Sus scrofa: one gene and its partner. The protein of the gene in region 2 purifies or fractionates together with the protein of the main gene of each other region. This does not show direct contact. Links are inferred from orthologs where the notes say so. Each region holds a gene or a part of one and is shown on either strand. Other genes may lie near its edges.

Region 1 (15,254 bases), on a different chromosome or scaffold from region 2:
TTTGCCCATTTTTCCATTGATTGATTGGTTTTTTTGCTGTTGAGTTGTATAAGTTGTTTATATATTCTAGAGATTAAGCCCTTGTCAGTTGCATCATTTGAAACCATTTTCTCCCATTCTGTAAGTTGTCTTTTTGTTTTCTTTTGGGTTTCCTTTGCTGTGCAAAAGCTTTTCAGTTTGATGAGGTCCCATGGGTTTATTTTTGCTCTAATTTCTATTGCTTTGGGAGACTGACCTGAGAAAATATTCATGATGTTGATGTCAGAGAGTGTTTTGCCTATGTTTTCTTCTAGGAGTTTGATGGTGTCCTGTCGTATATTTAAGTCTTTCAGCCATTTGGAATTTATTTTTGTGCATGGTGTGAGGGTGTGTTCTAGTTTCATTGCTTTGCATGCAGCTGTCCAGGTTTCCCAGCAATGCTTGCTGAATAGACTTTCCTTTTCCCATTTTATGTTCTTGCCTCCCTTGTCAAAGATTAATTGACCATAGGTGTCAGGGTTAATTTCCAGATTCTCTATTCTGTTCCATTGGTCTGTCTGTCTGTTTTGATACCAGTACCACACTGTTTTGATGACTGTGGCTTTGTAGTATTTCTTGAAGTCTGGGAGAGTGATGCCTCCTGCTTGGTTTTTGTTTCTCAGGATTGCTTTGGCGATTCTGGGTCTTTTGTGGTTCCATATAAATGTTTGGATTGTTTGTTCTAGTTCTGTGAAAAATGTCCTGGGTAATTTGATAGGGATTGCATTGAATTTGTAGATTGCTTTGGGTAGGATGGCCATTTTCACAATATTGATTTTTCCAATCCAGGAACATGGAATATCTTTCCATTTTTTTACATCTTCTTTGATTTCTTTGATTAAGGTTTTATAGTTCTCGGCATATAGGTCCTTTACCTCTTTGGTTAGGTGTATTCCGAGGTATTTGATTTTGTGAGGTACAATTTTAAAAGGTATCGTATTTTTGTATTCCTTTTCTAATGTTTCATTGCTGGTATACAGAAATGCAACTGACTTCTGAATGTTAATCTTATATCCTGCCACTTTGCTGAATTTATTAATCAGTTCAAGGAGTTTTGGGGTTGAGTCCTTAGGGTTTTCTAGGTATAGAATCATGTCATCTGCATACAGTGACAGTTTGATCTCTTCTCTTCCTATATGGATGCCTTTGATTTCTTTTGTTTGTCTAATTGCTGTGGCTAAGACTTCCAAAACTATGTTGAAGAGCAGTGGTGAGAGTGGGCATCCCTGTCTTGTTCCAGATTTGAGTGAGAAGGCTTTCAGTTTTTCCCCATTGAGGATTATATTTGCTGTGGGTTTATCATAAATGGCTTTGATTATATTCAGGAATGTTCCCTCTATACCCACTTTGGCGAGGGTCTTGATCATGAATGGATGTTGAACTTTGTCAAATGCTTTTTCTGCATCTATTGAGATGATCATATGATTTTTGACCTTTTTTTTGTTAATGTGGTGTATGATGTTGATTGATTTGCGTATGTTGAACCATCCTTGTGAACCTGGGATGAACCCAACCTGGTCATGGTGTATAATTTTTTTGATATGTTGTTGGATTCGGTTGGCTAAGATTTTGTTGAGAATTTTTGCATCTATATTCATCAATGATATTGGGCGATAGTTTTCTTTTTTGGTGGTATCTCTGCCTGGTTTTGGAATGAGGGTGATGGTGGCCTCATAGAATGTCTTTGGGAGTATTCCTTCTTCTTCAACCTTTTGAAAGAGTTTAAGGAGGATGGGCACTAATTCCTCTTTCAAAAATGTTTACTTCTAACAGAAAATTCTGAACTTATTTTAATAGGAATATGGGAAAAATAAACTCTACATTTATTTGTTAAAAAAAAAAGAATTTTCTCAAAATGTCACTTTCTCAGTGAGGCCCATACTGACTTCCCTGTTTAAAACTTTAGTATCAATTACATTGAATCATACTATTGACTTTTTTCATTTTTATACTCATAGATTTTAATATCTTCTAACACATTATGCAATGTACTTATTTATAATTGCTCTTAGCGCTTTCCTTAGAACATGAGCTCAAAGCAAGCCAAGGTGCCTCTTTTCTTCACTGATATATGCTTAGTGCCTAAAAAAGTGCCTGGCAGATGTAAAACCACTTAATACGTATTTGGTGAATGACTGAATTAGTGAATGTTAGTAAAAATTTGTGTAAAATTGTAACATTTCCAAGTACATGCACATGTATTATCTCATTTAACTTCCAAATAATATTACTAATGAGGCCACAATGTTATTTTCCTTGTACAGTTAAGGAAACACAGTGATGTTGAAGATAAGTTACATACCAGAAAATGATGATGCCAGGAAGTAAAGAGGATAATAAAATATTTTAAAGTATAGCCTTCTCTATATTACACTGTATTTTCCAGGGTCTGCATGGACAAGCAGAGATCTGCTGAATGATTTGGTTGAGGACAGAGATAGAACAAAGAGAGAAGACTGTCTTGCCATAATGAACCAGCCACTGCCTCAGGTTCATGGCTAAAAGAAACAAAGAGGATTTTTCTACCTCAAGAGAAGCCAGTTTTTATGGCAATAAGGACTTTTACCCTAATCCACTTACTGTAACTCTACTATTCTCTGTGTTGCTTAAACTGAGGTACATGTACTTTCAGGGACTATTAGGAGGCAGAAAAGTATAACACCATAAAGGTATAAAGAACAAGTATTTAAAAGAAAAATAATGAGAAGAAAGCCACAGAATAATTACTGAACATATTATAAGAGAATATCATTACTCAGTATGGAAAGGTGACAGATACTCTAAAATACCGGCTACATATTAAAAAACAAATTCAGATATATTGTTCATTGACCCATTCACTAATTACTTACTGAGTATCTACCCATGCATTCAATATATGTGAACAGTAGACAAAGCCTCTGTCCTCATGGAGTTTTTAGTCTAGTACAGAGACAGATAATACGGAGATAGGAAATTCAAAATAATTTTTTAAAAAATCTGTAAAGGAATGGATACATGTATATGTATAACTACTTTACTTTGACGTACACCTGAAACTAACACAACTTGTAAGTCAACTATACCTCAATGAAATGTATTAAAAAATAACACAGGAAATGCCATAGACATTTCAGGCTGGGGAGCAGTAGGCACTACTATGGCTGTTTGCCTTGATAGCTCCTGTGGGGTACACTCTCTTGCTCCTGGTACCAGATGTTTTGGGGAGAAAAATCCTGAGATGTACAGGGCAGTACTTAATGTGACAACCTTAGCCCTAGAGACAGGAATTGGGTCTTTGGTGCGAGAAGACTATCCTTCACGCTTCTGCTTAAGAGCAATGTTTTTTTCTACTGTAGATCACAGAAACATGGTTTCAGGGCATGCTAATGGATACAGGGCTGGTAATGGGTATTGAAGGATAAAAGAGAATCACCATGGTTCAAAAAGTTTAGGAAACCTTGAGTCCTCTAGCTTCTTTGTAGATGCAAAACACCCATTAGTACAGCACTTGTTCCAAGGAGTACTTAAGAAACAATCATCTTTATTATCTAACCATTTATTTTCTTGACTTGAAAAGAGCCCCTCACTTTTTTTTTTTTTTTTGGTTTTCTTATTGACAGACTATTCCTCATTGAATATAATGTACCCATGATCATTAGATGTACTATTATCTCACTTGCCACAAGGAAAGCCAAAATAAGTCTGCCAATAATAATTGTAATATATTGTCAATTCTGAGACATATTCTGATTTGAGAGATGTTAACATGTGAAAAAATGTGAAACTTAGAATTGTTGGATGGAATCAGATTTGGTTCTTAGCAATGCCCAACATCGAGGGCCTTTCTTCTCTGAGCCAGGCTATGTTGTGATTGTACACTCTTACTAATTTATTTGAAATATCATGAAATGTATATTAAAGGATGCTAAGGCTGTGGCACAGATAACCCACTGAGAGTTCTGTGTTCTTTCCATAGGGTAGAACAGAATTGGTGCTGTACAGCAGAAACCATCAGTGACTCTGTGTGTGTGTCTAGTGGGGGGTAGAATGAGAGGCTTGAAATCTAGATGATACACAGCCTCAGACCATTATTGACATGGCTAGTTTTACTTGCATTTTAGGAAGATTGCTTCGATTTCAGGATAAAGGCTGGATTGGAAGGGTTGAGACTTTGAAAGAAGCGCATCATCTTCCTAAGGGTTAAAGTGTGTTTTCTTTCAAACTGGGGGTCTGGGAGAACCTTTAACAGTGCATTGCAACACTGCAGGCCAAGGAATGTGTTCAATCATCATGTGAATAGAAATGAAGACTGATACTTTAGAAATGATTTTACAGATGAAATCTCTAGGCTTGCTGGAATGTTTTGTTTTAAAGTGTTGATTCTACTATTATGCAGGTTTCAGGAGCCGATTGCTCTTGAAACAGTAGTTTGTTACTCATGGTTTAAGAGGAGACACAGGACACCCTGCAGAGCCACATGGGAAAGCACTAGAGACCCTCAGGAGGCAGAAGGAGCAAGGGGAAGGCACTCTTCACTGTGGCTCCTTTGGGAAAGGCAAGAAAGGGCAGGGTAAGCAGGCTTAGGATTGGCTAGTTTGAGTAAGGTCAGCAGGGTTTGGGGTGTAGGGGCTTTCTCTACTTGTCTGGTACCTGGCCCTGTTATGATTAGGGCAGAAGAGGATAGAGGCCAGACACCGGGGAGGGGGTTCAGAGTACAGATTCTGGTTTGGTTAGTTTGCACATGAAAGGTATGCTCCAGAAAAAAATCATATGCTATCTCTAAGAACTGGCCAGCTCAGTCTAGCTCCATGAGCCAGGTCCCCAAAGCCTGGGCATCAAGAATACAGAAATAAGAAAACAACATTAATACACATTTGATGAGTGAAATGAGGAAGTCAAAGAGATATCCATTTTGGATGACTATGGAAGTGAAATGTTTTTAACTTTCAAGGGAACTAAGCTTTATTGGGTACTCACTCTGTGCCAGGCATGACTTGAAGACCTTTACATGGTCTCGATTAATCCTCAAAGCAATGTTTGGGACTATTTTTAGCTTAATTTTACATGAGTGCTGAAGAAGTTTGCAAGAGTTTGTGCTCCGTCCCCTGTGACCCATTCCCTCACAGCTTGATTTTAGATGTGTTGGATTTGAGGTCCTTGATGGATATCTTGGTGGAACTATTTAGGACACAATACCAGCAATGGCACCATTTTAAACTATGTTCCTATTTAACAGAAACTTACATTGTGCTTTCTACACTCTAAACATAATCTGTCCTAAAAGCTTTACAAATGCCACCTTATTTAATCCCATAACAATAATTTGAGGTACATATTAGCACCCTCATTTTATTCATATTTTTAATCATCTTAATAGCCTCCAATTTGAGGAATATCCTGATGAACCATGCAGTAGAACAGGCATTTTATGTAAATCAGCTTAATTCAGTCACACAATATGAATGTGATTATATCCATTTTAAAGACCAGAAAACGAATGCTTTCGTGGCTTGCATCATTTGACTACTATCACATGGTTTTATTGTTATAAACTTTATAAAGGTGAATTTCTGTTGTGCTTAAAACTATTATCCCATTTTACAGACCAGAAATTGTCTCAGTCGTTTAAGAGACTTGACCAATGCTACAAGGCCATAAACCACCCAGCCAGGATTTGAATTTCAGTATATTTGATTCTTCATCCCAATCTTTTCCCAATATTCTTGTACTTTTCAAACGGTGTTTCCCTGGAGCCCTATTTTCAATGTTTCATAAATGTGGGCTTCTTCACAAGATTTCATAAAATTGGACAGTGCTATGAGTGAATCGCATCCTCTGCCAAAATTCATGTGCTGGAGTCTTTATTCTGGTACTGCAGACTGTGACTGTATTTTGAGAGTGGGTCTTTACAACAGTAATTAAGGTAAAAGGAGGTCACTACATCATATGGGTGGATCCTAATCCAGTATGACTGCAGTCCTTATAAGAAGAGGAAATTAGAACAGAGACACACAAGAGGAAAGAACTTTGGCACAAGAAGGAAGAGATAGCCATCTACAAGCCAAGGAGAGAAGCAGTTAACCCTGCTGACACCTTGACTACAGACTTCCAGCCTCTGGAACTTTGTGAGGAAATCAACGTCTGCTGTTTAAGCCACCTAGTCTGTGGTATTTTGTTATGGCAACCCTAGCAAACTAACACAGACAGTAAATTTCCACTAGTAAAACAAAAGTGGAAAGCCACCGTCCCAGGCAGTTAGTCACACAGGCTGTTTGACCAGTCTGACTGTTTTCCTAAACTCAACAACACTGAGGTCAGATGACTTCCTGGGATAAAAGCCAGCTTCCTCTTGCTATTACTCCAGCTCCGGTCTACAGGTTTTCTTCTTCTTCTTCTAACTTCCCCTCTGGTGACAGAGGAGATAAATATTAGAGAAACAAAAGTCCAGAATGCGAAGGCTGCCATTCTCACTTCCTCTTACCCCTTAACCCAGTGCTGCTTTGAATAGAGTCAGTGCCCCCGGGCAGTGTGCTGAGGAGAGAAGACGGCAGTGCCTGGGAGGCTGCTCTGACCAGCAGATACAGAGGGTCATGCTTTCTCCGGGTCACTTCTGTTCACGGAAAATGCCAGGATGATTCCTCGCATCCGCCTGGCTGTGGCCACGATCCCAGCCATGGCCTTTCTCTCCTGCCTGAGATCTGAGAGCTGGGACCCTTGCGTGCAGGTATGTGGTAGGAGTCTGCTCAGCTTCCCCTGAGCTTTGCCTTGCTTCTGAAAAACTGCTCTCTGCCTAGAGCTTCCCTTGGTGAGCCCTGGTTAGTTTCATTAGCAAACAGAAGTCAAATTACCTTAAAGACTTAAGAGACCAAAGGGACCAAAAAATTCATGGTAAGAGCGCACTAATAGGCAGCCCATGGGGTTTTGTCCCACCTAGGACTTAAAGGGCTAATGGGACGTTAGGTCAGATAGACCTGTTTAAAATCACTGCCTTTCCAATTCTGGGCTGTGTGACCTTGAAGAAGTTACCCAACCTCTCTTAGACTAGTTTTCACATCCATAAAAGAATTATAGGCTTCAGTACAGAGTTGCAAGAAGCCTGCTTCCTGTCATTCCTTTCTGTTGGTGGTTTGCATACTCTGCTTTGAGCTGTTTTATTTGCCCCTTTCAATCTCAGGAAGATATTTTTAGTCTCTTAATAGAAATTTCTAAGCAGATTTCCAACTTCTGGTCATAGTTCTGTCCAAACGATAAAAAGACAGAAGTTAGAAAAGGAGAGACAGAGAAAGAGAGAGAGAAAGGAATGAAGAAAGAAGGAAAAAAGAGACAAGTTATAAAATATCAGCTAATGTAATGCTTGCTTTCTTTGTGAAACATCAATCAGTTGGTTCATAATCTCATTACTGATGGATTTTGTTTGTTCTTCCACTGCATGGACTTTACAATTGCTTTGGAAGCCCATGGCAGACCCAAACAGCCACAAGAATGTCCTGGATTTAGGATGTGGCAGGGTCAGAAACTCAAGAAAAGCATAACCTGCCAGAGTCCTGGCACTGGGGACATGGAAGAAACAATATACTTTGATATGTAACAAAGACAAATCTGTTATCTGCAAGTCCTCTGTTTCCCCAATTCCCTTCTCACTGTCCTCCTCTCTGTGTCTTTCCTGCTGTTAGGTTAGTAGGTATAGATCCTCCAATCATGCTCCCCCCAGGATAAAACCAAGGGGGGGAGGGGGGTGGCAGTGGGGACCATGTGGCTCCTCCTTCTCCCATGCTCCCAATACTCTCCATTTCCAAAGCTTGCCCAACCCTTCTCTTCCCTCCAGGATCACTCTGGGGCAGATCCTCAGTTCCCTTGGCCTTGACTCTTGGACAGGGACTAGTCTCATGTCCCATTGTCCCTGTCATTTAATCTAACCTGTACATTTTTGTTGTTTGTTTGTTGCAGTTTTTCCTGAGGTTCAGTTCTAACAAATTACCATCCTTAAAAACTTGCACTAACTCTCCATTGCTATCAGGACCTTTTCCTGCCATGGGGCCTTTGCCGTGGCTATTTCCTCTAGCTAGAATGCCTTCCCCGTAGATCTGTGGTGCTCAGTGGTAATATCATAGGGTCATGTGACATTATTTAAATAATAAATTTAAGTAACTAAATTTAATTAAATTTTTATTCAACTAAGTTAACTTTTTAAACTAAATTTAAAATGTAGTTTTACATTTTCTAGTAGCTACATGAAAATATAAAAAGAAGAAAGTGAAATTAATTTTAATAATATTTTTGTTTAACTCAGTACATTCAAAATATTATTTCAAAATGCAATGTATACTAAAGCATTAATAATATATTTTACATTCCTTCTTTGGTTTTAAGTCTTTAAAATTTAGTATATATTTTACATTTGCAATATATCTCAGTTTAAACTATCCATATTTCTTATGCTCATTATGGTCAGTATGTCCCTATTGGACAGTACAGCCCTAGATATTTTTATGACTTAATCCCTCATTTCATCCAGATTTCTGCTTATATGTCACCTCCTTCAATAAGTCTTCCTTGATTGCTTCACATAGAGCACCTCACCCCCCATATTTGCCACTAGTTTCCTATGCTGCTTTATTTTGATAGCACATTTTTGTAGCACATACACATATAGGTGTATATTTATATTTTATATATATATAAAACATGTATTACCTATGTTTTATATATATATATAAATATATATTTTATTTGTCTATTGCTTGTATTTTCCTTGAAATGGAATCTATAAGAGGTCAAGATAATTTCTGGTTTTAGTTATGACTCTATCCCAGTGCATCTCACATTATAGTTGCTCATTTAAATGTGATTGAAAGCATTGCCACAGAACAAAGTACGAGGCCTCCTATCTGGCCCTCCCCTCTGGTTGAGGTTTTGCCACTCCTGCCACACAACGTTAATCTGAGCTAGTTTTTCACCCCTCTGTACTTGCTGTGCCCTCTTCCTTCCTCTCCTTCCTTTCCATGTATCCAAATCTCATCCTTCCAGACCCACCTTGAAATTTTCTCTTTCTTGGAAGCCTTCTACAGTCTATAATCTCTGGATCCAGTATTGATCTCCACTTTTTAATGAACTAAGGAGAAAATGTTCTAAGTCTGGTTTCATCCCCTTTTCAGGAGTCTAACTTGTGCTTTTCTTTTAACTCTCTCAGTTGTGAGCTCATTGAAGTCTAGAGCCATATCCCATTGGTCTTTGTGTTGTCTATAGCACTTAGCAGAAAATGCCTTCAACTGGGTTTTGAATAAACATCTATTTAAGCAGTTATCCATTCATTTATTCAACAAATATTTATAGATCATTAACTATTTCCCAGGCACCTTCTGACTGCTGCAGACATAGCAGAGAGCTAGACTTTCAAAGCTTGCAGTCTAGTGAGGAAAATGAATAGTATATATGGAACATATGTTCATAATATTACATAGTGATTCGTCCTGTGAGGGAGGATAAAAGAAGGCAAGGGAAGAATGCCTGAACTATCACGTATTAGACAGTATGGTCTGTGAGGACCCTATGGGGAATAATATTTTAGGAGACAAGTGAATAAAGCAAAGAACTGCACTATGGCCTGTAAAACTTAACACACATTACTTCATCTTTCTAAATTCTTCTTTAAAAGGTTTATTTGAAGATTAAATTAAGGTATGTTACATATAAGAAACAAGCCGGTATATAGTGGGGAATTAATAATAGCCAATAATAATATATGTTAACATGTATTGATCATTTACACTGTAATAGGATTTCATACCTTTAAATACCTTATCCCATTAATCCTTTTAACAGATTCTGTTGGTTTTAAACTGAAAACCAAAATTAACTGGCTTAAGCAAGGAAATTTGTTGAAGAAATCAGAGACTTAGGAAATTAAACTGGAGGTTAGAGAACAAGACTTAACAAAGAATTTGAGAAAATATGATCGAAACCAGCAGAGGAACCAAGGCAGCATCAAGCACTTGATCTTATTTACTAGGTTCTACCATTGGAGTCCATGCACCTCAAAGATATGTCCCCATTTCTATCTCGTCTGCTCAAAGGTCAGCGATCCAAGGGAAAGAATACAATGCCAAAAACTGGGGTATGGCTAAGAGAGATCTGGATATCTGACTGGCCGCTTCCCTAAGCTTCTATACAATGAAGGCTATATTCAGAAAAACAATGGCCTTCCTTGCCTCAAATCACAGGGAAGAGCTAGGGTGAAACCCAGAGCTTTTGGACTCTAGAGCCTCAGCTCTTCACTACTTGCCTTGACTGCTTCACGATAAATGGTGCCATTGTGGTAGTAGAGGTTAAACACTGGGTACAGAGTAGTTTTCCCTTTTCCCTTCCTAATCCAGAAAAAGATATTTTATAAGAATGAAGTGAGTGGATACAGGAATGGATGGGTGGATAGATGAACAGAAGATTGGATGGAAGGATGGATGGATGAAAGAAGGTTGACTGGCCCCTGTGCCTATACCAGTGGCCTCCTAGGCTCTGGTCTAAGAGAGGGGAGATGCAGGGAAGTCTGTTAGGGTGCATGCAGGAAGACACTGCATCTAATGTCTGATTATTTCAGGTGGTTCCTAACATTAGTTACCAATGCATGGAGCTGAATTTCTACAAAATCCCTGACAACATCCCCACATCAGTCAAGATACTGGACCTGAGCTTTAACTACCTGAGTCATTTAGACAGCAATAGCTTCTCCAGCTTTCCAGAACTGCAGGTGCTGGATTTATCCAGGTAATGCATGAGCTTTTACCACTATCCAGAGCAAAATGTTCATTGTTCTTTCATTTAATTCTTAAGTAAGAAAGCTTGATTAGTAGAGTCTCATCTTCATTCACTTATTCATTCATTCAACAGATGTCTTATTTGCTATAAAACTTTGGGTAAGCCACCTCCTTCTCCAGGTCTCAGCTTTCTTATCTCAGAAATGAGCAGTTGGATAAGTCAGTTTCTCAGGACAACTCTATCTTTGATTTTAAGTCAGGGAAGTAAATTGACTCCAACTCTTTCATCAGCAGATATTAATTGACTACTTTCTATATGTTGTTAACTCTGCTGGGAAACAAGAGTCTGCTGATATATAACATACAACCCTAGCTATAAAGGAGGGCCTATCCACTTGAAAGAACTAATATGTTAAAATCCTGAGCAGGGTGCTGGGCACAGAATAGACATTCAAAGATGTTACCTGATTCTGATTCCGTATTTTTAACCTGAGATAAGGATAGGTGATAAGTTATTAGCAAACTAGAGGTGACACATCATGTTATTTAGAAAAGAGACCTTCTATGCAGCGAGTAATCAAGACAGATTTCACAAACTGAGCGGGATGCCAATAATGTCTGGAATATTGAAAGTGAGGTAGAGGACCAGGACTTAAGAAGAAACAAGTAACCTAAAGAGAAAGATTACAAGATCAAAGGAAAACATCTGTGGTGAGAAAGAACAGTGACTCAGATTATTTTCTAATTCAGGGAAGTATATCATTCATTAGCATAGGTGGAGTTATTGTCATAATTTTTGGGGGAATTGAATCCTAAAATGATTTTCATCATCAGGGACCTTATTTAGAAATGTACTAGATAATGGACTATAATCTTTAAAGAGTTTGTAAAACATGAAGAAATACTGTATATATGACATTTTACTATAGAAACTCTTAATAAAGGTGAAGAGGATGGTAGGTGTTCCTGTAGAAGGGTAAGCATCTGACGTTTTATGCTCTAACATGGACATTGATAGACTGTAATGAAGGGGGAAATGGAGCATTTTAAAGGCAGTGGCATGGAGCCATACGGAGGCCAGAAGACTTGAGCCAGGTCCTCCTCCAACAGTTATTGACATATGGCCTGAGGAGTGTCGCTTCAACTCCCTAAGTCTCAGTTTTCACATCTGTGAAACAGAAATGATGATCTTTATCCCATATGGTTAATTGTGATACTGAAGATTAACATGCCATGTATTTTAACAACCTCACAAAGTAGACTTTATAAGTATAAAATACTATTAGAGCATTCCATTAGTTTATAAAAATCTCAGTTTTCTGAGTAAGAATTCTGTCAAGAACTATACTGAATTTTGTACAAGAACTCTATGGAATTGAAGTAGACAAACCAACCCTCTTTTTTTAAAAAAAAGATTAAGAAGTGGTTTCTTATCAAACGCTGTCTATTATAAATCATCTTCGACCCACCACATACCCAAGGAATGACTCTCAGAGTCTTTAAATATGTGCTTAGAGAATGGCCAGCTTCCCTTCCTGGTTAGCCAGGAGGAGATTCTGGATTAGGGCAAGGACAATTAATAGTGCAAAAGATAAACTCTGCCTTTTCTTTTTCTTCATTTTTAATGTTTGATTTAAAATGTTGTACCAATTTCTGTTCTACAGGAGAGTGACTCAGTTACTCTTTTTAAAAAACATTATTTTACCTCATGGTCTATCTCAGGAAACTGGATATAATTCCTTGCTATACAGTAGGATATAGTTGTCTATCCATTCTAAATGTAATAGTTTGTATCTGTTAACCCCAAACTTCCAGTCCACCCAATTCCCTAAACTCTGCCTTTTCATACTGCTTCACACTGCTTAAGTACAGTACCTCTGCTTGTCTTTTAAAGATGCTTTGTGATAGACCAGTCAGCCTTTTTTTTTCCTATGGAAATCTATTGATACATATTTTTTTCTTTCTGTAGAGGAGAAAGAAGGTGAGTTTAAGAGGTTCATATATGTTCACATGTCTTGATAACGGCAGACCAGAAATTCATGTCCGTATCTGCTGCTTCCAAGTAAAATGTTCTCTTTGTCTTTAATACTCTGCTTCTCTAAAAGCCCCCTTGTATAGAAATCTTTTCATGAACGTTAAAGATATCTGTTATTTTGATGTAATCTTTTATATATTTAAAATTGAAATTTACCAGTTATTTATCATGGCTAACAACCAACTATCTGTGTCATATGCACCAACTGCATATATAATCACAATTTTACATGACAGGAAATGTCGAAAGTTGATCCACAGCTCTGTCTTCATGGGTCCCCAGTATTGATCTTTAACTGATTTCCCTCTGATGGATGAGCTGCCTCTGTTTAGTGTGGTGCACCTAGTGTGACAAAAAGATAGTGATGGTGGCCAGTATAATTGTACCAAATTTGTGGGCCTCTTCATTGCTTTATCTGCCTCACTTGATATGTTTGCCTATGCACCATCATATGGCATGCCACGTCTGTGTGAAGACTTAGATGACTGGGTTAATATTTCATTCTAATTTTTTATTCAACAGAAACATTATATAATCTGTACCTTTCTTCCCTATAGATGTGAAATTCAGACAATTGACGATGATGCATATCAGGGCCTAAATTACCTTTCCACCTTGATACTGACGGGAAATCCTATCCAGAGTTTAGCCCTGGGAGCCTTTTCTGGACTACCAAGTTTACAGAAGCTGGTTGCCGTTGAGACAAACCTAGCGTCTCTAGAGGACTTCCCCATTGGACATCTTAAAACCTTGAAGGAGCTTAATGTGGCTCACAATCATATCCATTCTTTCAAGTTACCTGAATATTTTTCTAACCTGCCCAACCTGGAGCATTTGGATCTTTCTAAGAACAAAATCGAAAATATTTATCATGAACACTTGCAGGTTCTACATCAAGTGCCCCTACTCAATCTCTCTTTAGACTTGTCCCTGAACCCTTTAAACTTTATTGAACCAGGTGCCTTTAACAAAATTAGGCTCAATGGATTGACTTTGCGAAGTAATTTTAATAGTTCGGATGTAATGAAAACTTGTATTCAAGGTCTGGCTGGTTCAAAAATCAATCAGTTGGTTTTGGGAGAATTTAAAAATGAAAGGAACTTGGAAAGTTTTGACAAATCTGTCCTGGAGGAACTGTGCAATTTGACCCTTGAACAGTTCCGGATAGCACACTTTGGTGAATTCCCAGATGATGTTTCTGACTTATTTAATTGTTTGGCAAATGCCTCTGTGATTTCTCTGTTGAGTCTGAATTTGCGTGGTCTAGAAGCCCTTCCTAATGATTTCAGGTGGCAACACTTAGAAGTGGTTAACTGTAAACTTCAACAATTTCCTGCATTGAAGTTCAACTCTCTCAAAAAGTTTGTTTTCAAAGACAATAAACATATGCACACTTTTACTGAAATTAACCTGCCAAACCTTCAGTTTCTAGATCTCAGTGGAAATCACTTGAGCTTTAAAGGTTGCTGTTCTCACAATGAATTTGGGACAACCAAACTGAAGCATTTAGATCTGAGCTTCAATGAAATCATTACCATGAAGTCAAACTTCATGGGCTTAGAGCAACTAGAATACCTGGATTTCCAGCATTCCAGTTTGAAACAGGCTAATGACTTTTCCATATTCCTATCACTCAGAAACCTCCATTACCTTGATATTTCTTATACTAACATCCACGTTGTCTTCCGTGGCATTTTTGCTGGCTTGGTCAGCCTCCAAACCTTGAAAATGGCTGGCAATTCTTTTCAGAACAACTTGCTTCCTGATGTCTTCACAGATCTGACTAACTTAATCCTCCTGGACCTCTCTAAGTGTCAACTGGAACAGGTATCCCAGAGGGCATTTCATTCCCTCCCTAGGCTTCAGGTGCTAAATATGAGTCACAACAGACTCTTGTTCTTGGATACACTTCCTTATAAACCACTCCACTCCCTCAGGATTCTGGATTGCAGTTACAATCTTATCGTGGCCTCCAAGGAACAAGAACTACAGCATCTGCCAAGGAGCCTAGCTTTTTTAAATCTCACTAAGAATGACTTTTCTTGTGCGTGTGAACACCAGACTTTCTTGCAGTGGGTCAAGGACCAGAAGCAGCTCCTTGTGGGAGCTGAGCAAATGGTGTGTACACAACCTTTAGAAATGCAGGACCTGCCTGTGCTGAGTTTCAGGAACGCCACCTGTCAGATAAGCGAGGCCGTCATTAGTGCGTCAGTTCTCACCTTCCTCCTGGTATCTGTGGCAGGAATCCTGGTCTATAAGTTCTATTTCCACTTGTTGCTTTTTGTGGGCTGCAAAAAATATGGCAGAGGTGAAAGCACCTATGACGCCTTTGTTATCTACTCCAGCCAGGACGAAGACTGGGTGAGGAATGAACTGGTAAAGAACTTGGAGGAGGGGGTGCCCCCTTTTCATCTCTGCCTTCACTACAGAGACTTCATTCCCGGTGTGGCCATCGCTGCTAACATCAT
Region 2 (15,108 bases):
ACATAATACATATGTATGTCAACAAAGTGGGTATATGATTTTAGGGCCACGTCCTCGGCATATGGAGGTTCCCAGGCTAGGTGTCCAATCGGAGCTACAGCTGCCAGCCTACACCACAGCTCATGGCAATGCCGGATCCCTAATCCACTGAGTGAGGCCAGGGATCGAACTAGAAACCTCATGATTCCTAGTCAGATTAGTTTCCACTGTGCCATAATGGGAACTCCACGTTATGCCTTTTAATTGGCCCACTGGCCTTCTTGCTGTTCTTCAAACTTGCCAGGCACGGTCCTACCTCAGGGCCTTTGCACTGGCTGCTCCCTCTGCCTGGAACAGTTTCTCTCACAAGTCCTCACAGCTCACTTCTTACCATCCTTCAGATTTTTGGTCAAGCCTGCCTTGATGACACTGTGCACAGCTGTTCCACTAAATAATGTTTTCTTGGAACACAAGCATGCTCACTCATTTACACACGGTCCTTGCTGCTTTCAGGCTACAGTGGCAGAGCTGAGTAACTGCAACAGAGACCACTGTGCCACGAGGGAACTCCAACATTTTTTCGTTTTTAATTCATTAAAATGGAAAAGCTGGAGCAGCCTAAAATATTTCCCCCCTGTTAAAACCAACTTTATTTTGGTAGGATTGGATGTCACTTAAAGTGTTAAAACTGTAGCATTTGGGAGTGGTGCAGTGGGTTAAGAATCTGACTGCAGCAGCTCAGGTTATTGCTGAGGCTTGGGTTCAATCCCTTGCCCAGTGCAGTGGGTTAAAGGATCTGACATTGCTGCAGCTGCAGCGTAGGTCACAGTTTGGGCTTGGAGTCAATCCCTGGCCTGGGAACTTCCATACGCCTCAGATGCAGCTTTTTTTTTTTTTGCTTTTTAGGGCCACACCCGAGGCATATGGAGGTCCCCAGGCTAGGGGTCGAATCGGAGGTGTAGCTGCCTGCCTACACTGCAGCCACAGCAATGCAGGATCCGAGCTGCATGTGTGACCTACACGACAGTTCATGGCAACGCTGGGTCCCTAACCCACTGAGCGAGGTCGGCAATCAAATCCTCAACCTCATGGTTCCTATTTGGATTCGTTTCCGCTGTGCCACAATGAAAACTTCGGATGCAGCCATTAAAAAAAAAAAAAAAAAATGTAATGGCTGAATTGAGATCTGAAAAAATAACATACCAGATCTTGAAGAATTGGTACCAGAAAAGGTATGTAAGGGGCACTGCTATTTTGGAACCAACGCCGCTTGGCTCTAGAAGGTCTCCAAAGTGTATCATCAGAAAGTCCAGCTTATATGGACTGAGAAACAACCTTATCTAATTTTTGTTTGTTTTTGGCCATGCCCAAGGCATGTGAAAGTTACCAGGTCAGAGATTGAGCCTGTGTCACAGCAGCAACTCGAGCCACTGCAGTGACAATACTGATCTTTAACCTGCTGAACTACTGGGGAACTCCTTATGTAGCTTCAGCTGAGCCAGCCCTGGTGAAACGAGCTCACAGCCAGAGTACTCCTGGAGGAAAACGGAAGACAGAAGACGCTGCCATAATGCAGCAGCAAGAGAAAGGCAAAGTGTATAGTTTTTCCTATCTCTGATGTGAGCTGGCTGTTAGCAACAAAATGGGATAAAAACAACAGTGATCTTATGTTCAGGTGGGACCACAAGTCAGCCAAAACTTTTTGAAGTATCGACTACTTGAGGAGTCCCATGCTGTGGCGCAACGGGATCGGTAGCATCTCTGGAGCTCGGAGACACAGGTTCCATCCCTGGCTCAGCACAGTGAGTTAAGGATCCTGTGTTGCTGCAGCTGTGGCGTAGGTGGCAACAGTGGCTCAGATCTGATCCCTGGCCTGGGAACTCCCTACGCCATAGGGCACCCGAAAAAAGAAAAAAAGCAAAGCATAAACCTACTTGAAATATCAGAAATCTCCCTCTATAGCAGTGAACCTCAGATCAACTTTTTTTTTTTTTTTTTTTTGTCTTTCCAGGGTCGCACCTCGCATATGGAGGTCCCCAGGCTAGGGGTCCAATCGGAGCTGTAGCTGCCAGCCTACACCAGAGCCACAGCAGTGCAGGATCCGAGCCGCATCTGTGACCTACACCACAGCTCAGGGCAACACCGGATCCTGAACCCACTGAGCAAGGCCAGGGATCGAACCTGCAACCTCATGGTTCCTTGTTAGATTTGTTAACCACTGCACCATGACAGGAATTCCATCGGATCAACTATTCTTTCCACCTCTCAATGGCTCCTAGGAACAGCTCTGTGTATAGTAACTTTTTTTTTTTTTTATGGCCACACCTCCAGCACATGGAAGTTCCCAGACTAGGGGTTGAATCGGAGCTGCAGCTGTCAGCCTAGGCCGCAGCCACAGCAACACTAGATCCGAGCCACATCTACGACCTATACCACAGTTTGTGGCAATGCCAGATCCTTAACCAATTGAGCAAGGCCAGGGATTGAACCTGCAACTTCATGGATACTAGTCGGGTTCTTAACCCACTAAGCCACAATGGGAACTCCCTATAGAACTTAAAAAGAAAAAATCAGGCGTGTTGACATGCACCCTCCAATTTTTTTTTTTTTTTTTTTTTGGTGTGGCTGCACCTATGGCATATGGAACTTTCCAGACTAGGGGTCAGATCAGAGCTGCAGCTTCCAGCTTATGCCACAGCCACAGCAATGTGGGATCTGAGCCATGTCTGCGACCTATACCACAGCTCACAGCACTGCTGGATCCTTAACCCACAGAGCGAGGCCAGGGATAGAACCCACATCCTCAAGGATAGTAGTTGGGTTCGTAACCCACTGAGCCACAACAGGAACTCCACACCCTCCAATTTTCAACTAATAAAGAGCACAGCTCAGAGTTCCCATTGTGGCTCAGCAGTAACGAATCCGACTAGTATCCAAGAGGATGCAGTTTTGACCCCTGGCCTCACTCAGTAGGTTAAGGATCCGGCACTGCCATGAGCTGTGGTGTAGGTCACAGATGCGGCTCAGATCCCACACTGCTGTGGCTGTGGCATAGGCCAGCAGCTGCAGTTCCAGTTCAGCTCCTAGTGTGGAAACCTCTATATGCCATAGAAATTAAAAACCCTAAAAATTAAAAAAAGAAATTTAAAAAAGCACAGCTGATAAAGGGTAAAGGACAGGCATGAGTGGAGCTGGACGTCAAGTTCTGTTTCCCAGTGTTCACTCTGAAAATTCAAGCTCAGTACTTAGGATCCAAGTCCTATTGTCAGGTTCTACATCAATAAAATCTTAAAAGTGGAGTTCCCTGGTGGCTTAGTGGTTAAGGATCCAGCATTGTCACTGCTGTGGTGCAGGTCTGATCCCTGGCCTGGGAACTTCTGCATGCCATGGGCGCAGCCAAAAACAAACGAAAAAACAAATAAAAAGTTAAAAGGACAAACGTTCAGACTGTGAGAAGCAAACAACTTAGCTGCCAACATAGAACAGAGGAGTCTGTATGAAATTCTCATGTTCTGAGTTCTCCTGGAATCCAGGTATTCAGTGAGAATGGAGTGTCAGCTGCCCTTGTCTAGGAGCCAAAAGCTGCCCCCTCTATGGGACACCCACCTGAAATGACTCCCCTCCAGGGCAAGAGAGGGCAGTTGGTGGGAGCATGCCCGTGGGGTACAAATCTCAGTTGTACTGCTTCCAGGCTGTGACCTTGGACAGGCTACCTGTACACTGGGGCCTCAGTCTCCTCATCTGTAGAATGGGTACAAGGATTAGCCCTCCCTTCGAGGGCTGCTATTAGTTGAGTTAATCCACATAGAAATGTCACAGAGCAGTGCCTGGCATACCATCAGAGCCTTTGGTGACTGATAGCTGCCCACCCCCAGCAGGCACCCAAGCTGGAGGCCCCCTCACTGGACATCCCCACAACAGAGGCTCAGGGCTGGGCTTGTGGAAAAGTAAACAGAGCCAGCCAGACTCAGAATCAGTGAGGCAACCCTGTCCTCACTGGGTATATATCCAGACAAACCTATAACCCAGTGTTCACAGCAGCACTATTCACAATAGCTAAGACATGGAAGCAACCTAAATATTTACTGACAGATGAATGGATAAAGGAGATGTGGTACAGATACACAATGGAATATTACTCAGCCATAAAAAAGAATGAAATAATGCCGTCTGCAGCAACATGGATGAACCTAGAGATTATCATACTAAGTGAAATAAGTCAGAAAAAGACAAATATCATATATAATATCTAAAATATGACAAAAATAAACTTATCTATGAAACAGAAACAGAATCACAGACATACAGAATAGATTTGTGGTTGCCAAGGAGGAGAGGGAAGGGGGGAGGGATGGAGTGGAACTTGGGGGTCAGCAGATGCAAACTATTATATACAGGATGGATAAACAATGAAATCCTACTATATAACACAGGGAACTATATTCAATATACTGTAATAAACCATAAAGGAAAAGCATATAAAAAGAATACAGGAGTGCCCGCTGGAGTGCAATGGGATCCAGGGTGTCTCTACAGTGGTGGAGACATGGGTTTCATTCCCAGCCTGCCACAGTGGGTTAAGGATCCCAATATTGCCATAGCTGTGGGGTAGGTTGCAACTCTGGCTCAGATTCGATCCCTGGCCTGGGAACCCCATATGCCATGGGGCGGCCAAAAAAAAAAAGGGAATATATAGGAGTTCCGTTGTGGCACAACGGACAAGGAGTTAAGGATCCAGCATTGTCACTGCTGTGGTGAGGGTTTGATCCCAGGTCCAGGTATTTCTGCATGCTGCAGGTGCGGCAAAAAAAAAAAAAAAAAAAAAAAAAAAAAAAGAGAGAGAGAGAGAGAGAAAGAGAACATACATATGTATAAATGAATCACTCTGCTGTACTGCAGAAATTATCACAACATCGTAAATCAACTATACGTCAATAAAATTAAAAATAAAGAATCAGTGAGGCAGGACTGCCCCTGCCTGCACTCCTGGCAAGTTACCTAAAGTCACACAGTGTTTCTTCTCCATCTCCCCGCCTGCCAGCCTGAGCCCCGATGCAGTGACTGTGCCAGCTGTGGCCCCCTCCCCAGATGCTGTTCCTTGGTGTGTCCCCTGTGCATTCAATCTGCCCTGGCTAGAGGCCACCTCAAGCTTCCAGAAACCTGGCTCCACCTTCCATGGCCTCCGGGACAAAGTCCACTTGGCATCTGACAGTGGGTGCCAGGGCTAGGGGAGGGGAGCACCTACAGGGGTGGGGATCTGGGTCCACCCCCTGCCAGCTGGCAGGACCTGCTTCTCAGCCTCTGTTTCCTTGTGCATAAAACGAGCAGAGGAGTTCCCGTCGTGGCGCAGTGGTTAACGAATCCGACTAGGAACCATGAGGTTGCGGGTTCGGTCCCTGCCCTTGCTCAGTGGGTTAACGATCCGGCGTTGCCATGAGCTGTGATGTAGGTTGCAGACGCGGCTCGGATCCCGCGTTGCTGTGGCTCTGGCGTAGGCCAGTGGCTACAGCTCTGATTCAGCCCCTAGCCTGGGAACCTCCATATGCCGTGGGAGCGGCCCAAGAAATAGCAACAACAACAACAACAACAACAACAACAACAAAAAAAAAAAGACAAAAAAAGACAAAAAAAAAAAAACGAGCAGAAAAGCAGCCCTCCTCATGAGCGACAGCTCAGTGTAACAATATAAAAAAAGCCTACGAATCAGAAATAAATACTGGCAGAATCTCTTTTTTTTCTTCTTCTTTTATATTAGTTCACCACATTGGGATTATGCCCACACCTTCCTCTCTTATCGATACTCTTGTGGAGTGGATATTAACCGAATGCCTACTCTGTGCCAAGAGCTGTTCTAGATGCTGCTGCTGAGCCCCCGCCCCCCCCCCCCCCCGGCCCTCTCAGAACTCCAGAGACCAGGAATGAAGGAGAAAGTAATTTGCAGAGAATAGAAAGAGCTGTCGAGGACATGAGCCAGGGTCAGGGAAGGCAAAAAGGACTGGGGGAAAGGCTGCCAAGGACTGGGGATCAATGGAGGCCTCTGGAAGTGACAAGTGAGCTGAGACCTGAAGGAAGTGAGGTTGTAACTCACATGCAGGCAGATCCAGGGAAAGAGACTTTCAGGCAGAGAGCTGGGCATGTGCAAAGGCCCTGGGGCAGGACCATGCCTGGTATGCTGGAGGAACAGGGAGGAGGCCAGTGTGTCTGGAGCAGAGTGAGGGAGGGGGAGAGAGGGAGGAAGGGAGGGAAAGGAGGGGACAGGGCAGGTCATGCAGGGTCTTACGGGCTATGGTGAGGACTTTGACTTTTACCCTGAAGGAGATGGGAGCCCTGGAGGGCAGTGGGCAGAGCAGTGATGGAAGGGACTCAGCTGCTTACAGGTGCCCTCTGGCTACTGCAGGGAGGACAGGCTATGGTGGGGGCCAGGGGGCGAGGGCAGGAGAGCTGGGTTTTGTGGGAGGACCAGGGTGGAGGGGACCACTGGCTCTGCTAAGCAATGATGGGAGCCAGACTGGATGGTGGTCTCCAGGAAGGAGATCCAGTGGATGGATGTGTGGATAATTTGGAGACACAGGAGGGGAGCAGGAGGGGGAAAGGATTCCTGGACATTTGAATGTGTGAGATGAGGAGGACATGGGAGCGGCTGGTTTGGGATTGGGGGAAGAAATCAAGAATTGTTTTTGGTTTTTTGCTTTTTTTTTTTTTAGGGTGGCACCTGCAACATATGGAGGTTCCCAAGCTAGGGGTCCAGTAGAAGCTACAGCTGCCCGCCTACACTACAGCCACAGCAACACAGGATCCAAGCCACGTCTGTGACCTACACCACAGCTCACGGCAATGCTGGATCCTTAACCCACTGAGAGAGGCCAGGGATTGAACCCGCAACCTCATGGTTCCTAGTTGGATTCGTTTCCACCGCACCACGATGGGAACTCCAAGAATCGTTTTTGACAGGAGTCACTTGATCAAGTCCTCCCTGCAGACCCCCATCCCTCCCACTGCCCCCCTCACTTCCTCTGATCCAGCCACACTGTTCCTTCAACACACCAGGCATAAGCCTGCCTCAGGACCTTTGCACTGGTTGTTCCCAAAGCCTAGAGTACCTCTCCCCAGATACCCACACTGCGGGCTCCCTCGCCTCCTTCAGGTCTGCCTGAAGGATGTCACCTCCTCACCAAGGTCAACCGTGGACACCCTGCTTAAAACTGAAGCCCATCCCCCACACTCCTTGCTTTATTTCTCTCCTTTCAAATTCCAGCCACCTGACACTATGGATTTATCCTATCAACTCTGTTGACTGTGCACTGCCTCCTACCAGAGTGAGCACCACTAAAACAGGGACGTTCATCTGTCTTGTTCCCAGCTGTATCTCCAGGGACAGGCACACAGTAGGTATACTTACATAAATAGATACGTATACCTTATAAATACTTATTGGCTGAATAAATGAATAAGTGGATGGAATAGTATCCGGCACACAGTAGGCACCTAATAAATGTTTCCTGTTTGACTCCTCCCTCCCCAAGAAGATAGTCTAATCTGCTCCCACCAGGACTGGCATATAGCAGGGACAAAATTCACTCCTTTTGGCTAAAAAAGAAATGTTCCAATGAGACCCGGAAGCCAAAACATAGCCAGACTGTCTCTGAAAAACATCAGGAGACTGAAGGGCATTTATTCAATAAATGTTTGCTGAGCACCTACCATGTGCTGGGCACTGTGCAAAGGAGGGGCAAGGCTGTGAGCTAAGATTATTTTGACTGCCTGTTTACCAGTGGGAAAGGGAGGCACAGAGAGGTAAAGTGATTTCGCCTGGGATCACACAGGTAGAAAGTAAAGCAGCAGGAATTTCAACCAGGCAGCCTGGCTGTGGGGCCCCTGCCTTTACTCACTAAGCACCTACTATGTGCAGTCTCCTTCCTAAGCCTGGATCTGAGGAATCCTCAAGCCTGGCCAATGGAGATGGCACCAGATATCTGCCCTCTGCATTTGGCACACACCCCTGTGACAGGCCACGCTTTTTACCCCATGTGGCTCCATGAGGACACTATTTGGCCCCTACTGTGTGCCCAGCATACTGAACAGTGTCTCCCCCACACAGCAGGTGCTCCATAAACGTTCTTTGAAGAAAGAATGAACGTCCCTTATTTGGAAGACACAGAGGCCCAGGAAGGTTCGAGAGCCTGTAGCACCCACCAACCCCTCCCCCCCAACTCTGGCACCTAGACACCAGGCTTCCAGCTTTCCTGGGTCACACTGGGGTGCCCCCTCCCCCAGACCCCTGTCTCAGCCACAAGGAGAGGGAAGGAACGCAGGTGCCAGGAAGAAGGCCTGGGGCCACCGGGCTCCGAGTGGTGCCAGAAACCAGTCCTGGATAGTCTGTCTCCTGGGCAGGTACCGACCAACCCAACCCCGTACCCCGCGGGAAAAGATGGGGAGTAGGGGGTGCTGAAGATTCCAGATGGGACACTTCGGACCGAGGCAGCGCGCTCCCGCAGGGGGAGCCCCCCCCCAACCAAGGCCCCGGAGGGGCTGGGGGAGGGGCGGGGGGCGGCGATCGCGGGCGAGAGGAACAGGGGCTGGAACAGACAGAGCGCCCAGCTCGGGGAAGAAATCAGAAATGTGGAGAAGGAATGGGGTGTTGGAGGGGAAGACCTGAGTGTTGGGGGAGGATTCGGGGTGACGGGTAAGAGCTGGGGGTCTGGGGAGGACTTAGGTCAGGGAAGGGAACTGGAGTATTGAGGGGAGCACTGAACACGCGGAGGGAGGCCGGCAGAAGTTCCAAGTGGGGGCAGCTGGCCTCGAACGCCGGCGAGGGGCACCGGGCCCCCTGTTGGCCTGCGGGGGTCCCCCGCCCCTCCCCGGCCGGCCCTCACCCCTTTCTCACCTACCAGGGAACCATGGAGACGGCCGCCGCGCTGCTGGAGTCCTCGGGGCTGGGGCTGGTGGCCTGACGGCCCGACGGCCCGACGCCCCGACCGCGGTGCGGGCAGCAGCCGAGGGCGCGCCGGAGGTTGGAGGCGCGCGGTCTCCGCCTGCAGCCTCCGCCTGCCCCTTCCGCGTCCGGGGAGGAGAGAGGAAGGAGGTGAGATCACGCTTTCCCAGCGGGACCGGGAAAGTCCCCGAGACACCCCAAATGACACCCTCTCTCCCTCTGCCCGCTGCCACGTTGGGCGCTGGGGACCACAACAGGGGCCCAGAGGGACAAAAGCCCTGCCCTCGGGGTCGCACAGTCTAGCAAGAAAGAACCACAATTTAAAAATTAGTTCATCTCAATTAGTAGTTAATGTTTACCAGGAAATCGAACAGAGGGGATGGGATAATTGGGGTGTGGAGGGGTGCAGGAATCATGGCCTTCCCGGAAGGGTTTGGGGACGCCCATGTCGTTGGAAGAGGGGCAGCAAGATGGCATATCTGGTTTGTTGTTGTTTGGGCCTAACCTTTGCAAGTGGAAGTTCCAGGGTCAGGGATCGAACCTGGAACCTGAGCCACAGCTGGAGCCACAGCAGTGGCAATGCAAGACCCTCAACCCAATGAGCCACCAGGGAACTCCAAGATGCATGATGGCATATCTTTTTTTTTTTTTTTTTTTTGGTCTTTTTGTCTTTTTTAGGGCCGCACCCACGGCACATGGAAGTTCCCAGGCTAGGGGTCCCTTTGGAGCCACAGCTGCCGGCCTACACCACAGCAACACAGGATCTGAGCTGCATCTGCGACCTACACCACAGCTCACAGCAATGCCAGATCCCTAACCCACTGAGCAAGGCCAGGGATCGAACCCACAACCTCACGTTTCCTAGTCAGATTTGCTTCCGCTGTGCCACAACCGGAACTCCCAAGATGGCATATCCTGAAGCTGCAAACAACCACTCCTAAAATTCACAGGAGGAGTTCCTGCTGTGGCACAATGGGATCTGGCTCAACGGGATCTGCCCTGTCTTGGGAGCACTGGCACCTGGGTTTGATCCTGGCCCACCATAGTGGGGTAAGGATCTCATGTTGCCGCACCTGCAACTTAGGTTACAACTGTGGCTTGAATCTGATCCCTGGCCTGGGAACTCCATATGGCTCAAGGCAGCATATGGAAAACAATGGAGAAAAAAAATTCACAGGAGTCTCAACCTTTTGGGGGTCCTGGACCCAGCGCTTGCAAATACATTCAGCATAATTAAGCCACAGTGCACCGAGTCCAGCATACTTTTAGGGGCCTGAAAAAAGAATTTTTTTTCATTTCTTTTAAAATCAGAAGAAAAAATGAATATAAGCCAACTTGGATTATATATGTCTTTATACCAACGCAGTTGTAAAATGTAATTTAATATTTTTAAATGCAGGAAGGGGCCCACAAAAGACATAAGTAATGTCTTTGGGCCCCTTTGTCATCTGGAACCTCTAGTCAAAATACTATTTGTAATGGAAAACAAATTTATGGTTACAAAGGGGAAAGGGGGTGGGGGGATAAATTAGGAGTTTGGGTTTAATAGATACACACTATTATACATAAAATTTTTAAAAATGGAATAAACAACAAGAGCCTACTGTAGAGCACAGGGAACTATATTCAATATCTTGTAATAAACTGTAATGGAAAAGAACCTGAAAAAATATGTATGGGTGTATAACTGAATCACTTTGCTGTACCCCTGAAACTAACACAACATTGTGAATCAACTATACTTCACTTTTTAAAAAAAATACCATTTGGTAGATGCATAAAACCCAGTACAAGAAGTTACAAGAAAGGCCACTGTGTTGAAATACAGTTATTAAAGTGTTTTAAAAAACTGCTTAGCAATCCATCCTTGGATGAATGGGTAAACAAAACAGGGTCCACCCACACAATGGAATATTATTCAACCTTAAAGAGGAAGGAAATTCTGACACATGCATGAAACTTATGTCCAGTGAGATGAGCCAGACATGGAAGATCAAACACTGATTCCTCGAATAGAAAGTCCTTAGAGGAGTCAGATCCAGAGAGACAGGAAGTAGATGGTGGAGCCAGAGGCTGGGGGAGGGGAAGGGGACAGAGTTTCAGTTTAGGAAGAAGGGATGGAGATGGATAGTGGGGATGGTTGCACGACAGTATGAATGTACTAAATGCCGCTGAGCTGTACTCCTTTTTAAAAAAAAAAAAATTATTATAGTTGATTTACAATGCCAATTTCTGCCGTACCGCAAAGTGACCCAGTCACACATATGCATATATTCTTTTTCTCAGTTGTTCTTCCATTATGTTCTATCCCAAGAGACTGGATAAGCTATACTCTTAAAAATGATTAAAAAGTAAGTTTTATGTCAAGAATATTTTACCACAACAAAACATTGTTTTCAAACCCTTGGCGAGGCAATCATTTCAAAAAGACTCTTGAGAGTTCCCGTTGTGTCGCAGTGGTTAACAATCTGACTAGGAGAATTCCTGTCGTGGTGCAGTGGTTAACGAATCCGACTAGGAACCATGAAGTTGTGGGTTCAATCCCTGGCCTTGCTCAGTGGGTTAAGGATCTGGCATTGCTGTGGCTCTGGTGTAGGCCGGCAGCTATAGCTCTGATTAGACCTCTAGCCTGAGAACCTCCATAAGCCGAGGGAGCGGCCCAAGAAATGGCAAAAAGACAAAAGACAAAACAAAACAAAACAAAAACAAAAACAAAAAAACAATCCGACTAGGAACCATGAGGTTGCAGGTTCAATCCCTGGCCTTGCTCAGTGGGTTAAGGATCCGGCATTGCCCTGAGCTGTGGTGTAGTTCACAGATGCGGCTCGGATCTGGCGTTGCTGTGGCTCTGGCGTAGGACAGTGGCTACAGCTCCAATTAGACCCCTAGCCTGGGAACCTCCATGTGCCTTGGGTGCGGCCCTAGAAAAGGCAAAAAGACCAAAAAAAAAAAAAAGACTTGAAATAGCACTATACCAAAACAAACATAGCTTAGGGTTCTTTCTCTGTGTGTCTCACCAAATAAGCTAACAAGGGCTATTAATCACAGCGATTTCTCATCCCCTCAGTTCAGAATTGAGAAAATGGGAACTATAGGTCAGAGCCAGAGAAAACAAAGATAGGAGGGTTTTTTCCCCATCCGTTCATTGGACACCCTGAATTTTATCACTGGGTGCCTGGATTCCAGTTCAAAGTTCAAAGTTTCTTGGGAGGAAAATGCAAATAGAAGTTATCTGGATGCAAAATGCTCCCGCCCTCCCCAGCCCTACCACAGGGCCTCACTTAGTGCCTGTCTCCTGCAAGGGAGAGACTTTATTGAATGCTTACTGTATGCCAGGCAGGCATGGCTAGGTTCTGGGGATGTATCGGGGTTGGGGTAGGGGAGAGAAAGAAGTGGTGATGCCTTTGGAGCTGGAGAGGGAGAGGGCTTTAAACCCACCTTCCCATGCCTCTCCCCTCATCACCAATTTTGGAATGTCCATTACATGCGTGTCCCCATGCCAAACACATCTTGGTGGCCCTCTGATCCTTGTCTTTTTTATAGCTGCTCCCATGGCATGTGCAAGTTCCCAGGCCAGGGATCAACCCCGAGTCACAGCAGTGACTATGCTGGATCCTTAACCCACTGAGCCACCAGGGAACTCCCTGATCCATATCTTAAAACAACCCTTCCAGGTAAGTTTGAACATGCCTGTTTTATAGGTGAGAACACTGAGGCTCAGAGAAGGTATGAGGGCTGGAGCATCCTGGCTTCCAGGGGAAACCAGGGGCTACAGATGGATACATTTGACCACCTGCAGACAGGTGTAGTTGTGCATCTCCCTTCTTCAATTAAAGAAATAAAAGTTCCAGTTGAGGTCCACATTCCTGTCCAATTTCTCTCCTTCCTGCTCTCACTTGGGAGCCCATTCACTCTCTTTTCTGCTTTTCACACATGGATACATTTCCCTGAAAGTCGTCTTTCGTATTCTTTGGTCTGGCTTTGCTTTTTATGCAGACTGGCCAGAAGTCAGCAAATTTTTTTTCTGCAAAGGACCGGAGAGTAAATATTGCTGATCTTATGGGCCGTAGTATCTTTATTACAATCACCTGACACTGCCTTTATAGTCCCAAAGCAGCCACAGGTGATGTCAATAAATGGGCGTGGCACTGTCCATAAAACTGTTTTTATCAGTGTCTTTTTTTTTTTTTTTTTTTTTGTCTTTTTGTCTTTTCTAGGGCTGCACCCTTGGCATATGGAGGTTCCCAGCCTAGGGGTCTAATCGGAGCTGTAGCTGCCAGCCTACACCACAGCCACAGCAATGCCAGATCCTTAACCCACTGAGCAAGGCCAGGGATTGAACCCACAACCTCATGGTTCCTAGTCGGATTCGTTAACCACTGAGCCATGACGGGAACTCCTCAATTTACAAAACCAAGTGGCAGGCTAGACAGTGGCCACAGTTTGCTGACCCCAGACAGATAGTTTCTTTCTTTTTTTTTTTTTTTGTCTTTTTGTCTTTTTGTTGTTGTTGTTGCTATTTCTTGGGCCGCTCCCTCGGCGTATGGAGGTTCCCAGGCTAGGGGTTGAATCGGAGCTGTAGCCACCGGCCTACGCCAGAGCCACAGCAACGCAGGATCCGAGCCGCGTCTGCAACCTACACCACAGCTCACGGCAACGCCGGATCGTTAACCCACTGAGCAAGGCCAGGGATCGAACCCACAACCTCATGGTTCCTAGTCGGATTCGTTAACCACTGCGCCACGACGGGAACTCCCACAGATAGTTTCTATATTTAGCTTTATTCTGTTGACGATGTCTCCAATATTTTTCCAAGCCAATAAATATAGCCTAACCTTGCTCTTTGGCTTGTTTGGTGGCCGTGCCTGAGGCATGCAGAAGTTCCTGGGCCAGGAATCAAATCCGAGTTGTAGCGGTCATAGAGCCACAACAGTGACAACCTAGATCTTTAACCACTGGGCCACCAGGGAACCCCCAACCTTGTTCCTTTTTAAGTGTGTTATGGTCTCACTAAGCGTGGCTGTATTACAGTTGCTGAGTCCACTATCACTGGGTACACTGGTTGCTGCCACTCTTCCCCCCAAGCAGGCATCGACACATTCTAGGGAGGTGGTTATGAACACAGTTCGGGGGAAGGGAGAGCCTCAGTGCTGGGTTCAGATCCTTTCCTTACTCTGACACTTATCAGCCATGAGGTGGGATGACAAGTGAGCCGGCTGAGGCGGGCCTCAATTTCCCTCCCTTGTAATCTGCTTCTTGGGCTTGATAAAAGGATTCAGTGACTTGGTTGACAGCATTTCTCAAGGGTGGCTTCGGAGAAAGGGAACTTCTGGGACTTCTCAGACGTGGAGAAGACACATTCTCACTCTTACTAAACACTGACGGATTGCTGTCCAAAATAGTGTGGCTATTTTCACTCCCATCCCCCGGCTGGAAGTGAACAAAAAGGCCCATTTCCTCCCTCATTGACCGCGTGTTACTTTCTCTTTCTTGATTTACGCTGAAGTGTCATTCATGGGCACCAAAGTCTACTAAAGCTTCACTGGACAGCTCAGTGGGTTTTTGCATATGGACACACTCCCTGTAGCCATCTCGATGTATAGAGGTCATTTCCAGCCCCCAGATTCCCCGAGGGTCCCTTCTCTGTCCCTACCCACCAGGCAACCTCTCTTCTGGTTTCTGTCCTCATAGTTTCATTTTGATTTGGAAACGTCATCAAAAGAGAATCAGTGTGTGGAGTTCCCTGGTGGCCTAGTGGTTAAGGATGCTGTGTTGTCACTGCCACGGCTCTGGTTTGATCCCTGACACAACCGGAAAAAAAAAGTAAGCTGGTGGAGAGTTCCTTGATGGTCTAGTGTTTTCACTGCTGTGGCCTGGATTCCATCCCTAGTCTGGGAACTGAAATCCCACATCAAGCTGCTGCATGCTGGGGCTCAAAAAGAATAAGAAATACACAAAATGTGTTCTTAGCTCATGAGCCATGCCAACAAACAAAAAGTCCTTGGATGGTATTTGGCCCTCAGGCCATGGTTTGCAGACTTTAAGTCTAAATCACAGTGCCTGATACACAGCAAATACTCATTACTAAGTGTCCAGAGGCAGGTTTTCTGTAGCATCTAGCTTTTTTTCCCACACCAGCAGCCTGCAGAAGTTCCTAAGCCGTGGACCGAACCTGCACCACAGCAGTGACCCAAGCC

What was found.
Region 1: the proteins of TICAM1 (region 2) and TLR4 purify together in Homo sapiens (affinity purification with western blotting; 3 studies listed by BioGRID). This does not show direct contact. The link is inferred for Sus scrofa from reciprocal best matches to the Homo sapiens genes TICAM1 and TLR4.

What each region holds. Positions count from the first base shown.
Region 1 is NC_010443.5:258,038,227-258,053,480, forward strand, and holds the start of TLR4 (toll-like receptor 4 isoform 1 precursor), read left to right. Parts: upstream 1-6,383; 5' UTR 6,384-6,631; coding exon 6,632-6,724; intron 6,725-10,594; coding exon 10,595-10,761; intron 10,762-13,343; coding exon 13,344-15,254.
Region 2 is NC_010444.4:73,998,419-74,013,526, reverse strand, and holds the start of TICAM1 (TIR domain-containing adapter molecule 1), read right to left. Parts: upstream 8,962-15,108; 5' UTR 8,868-8,961; intron 5,330-8,867; exon of another isoform or gene 4,978-5,329; intron 1-4,977.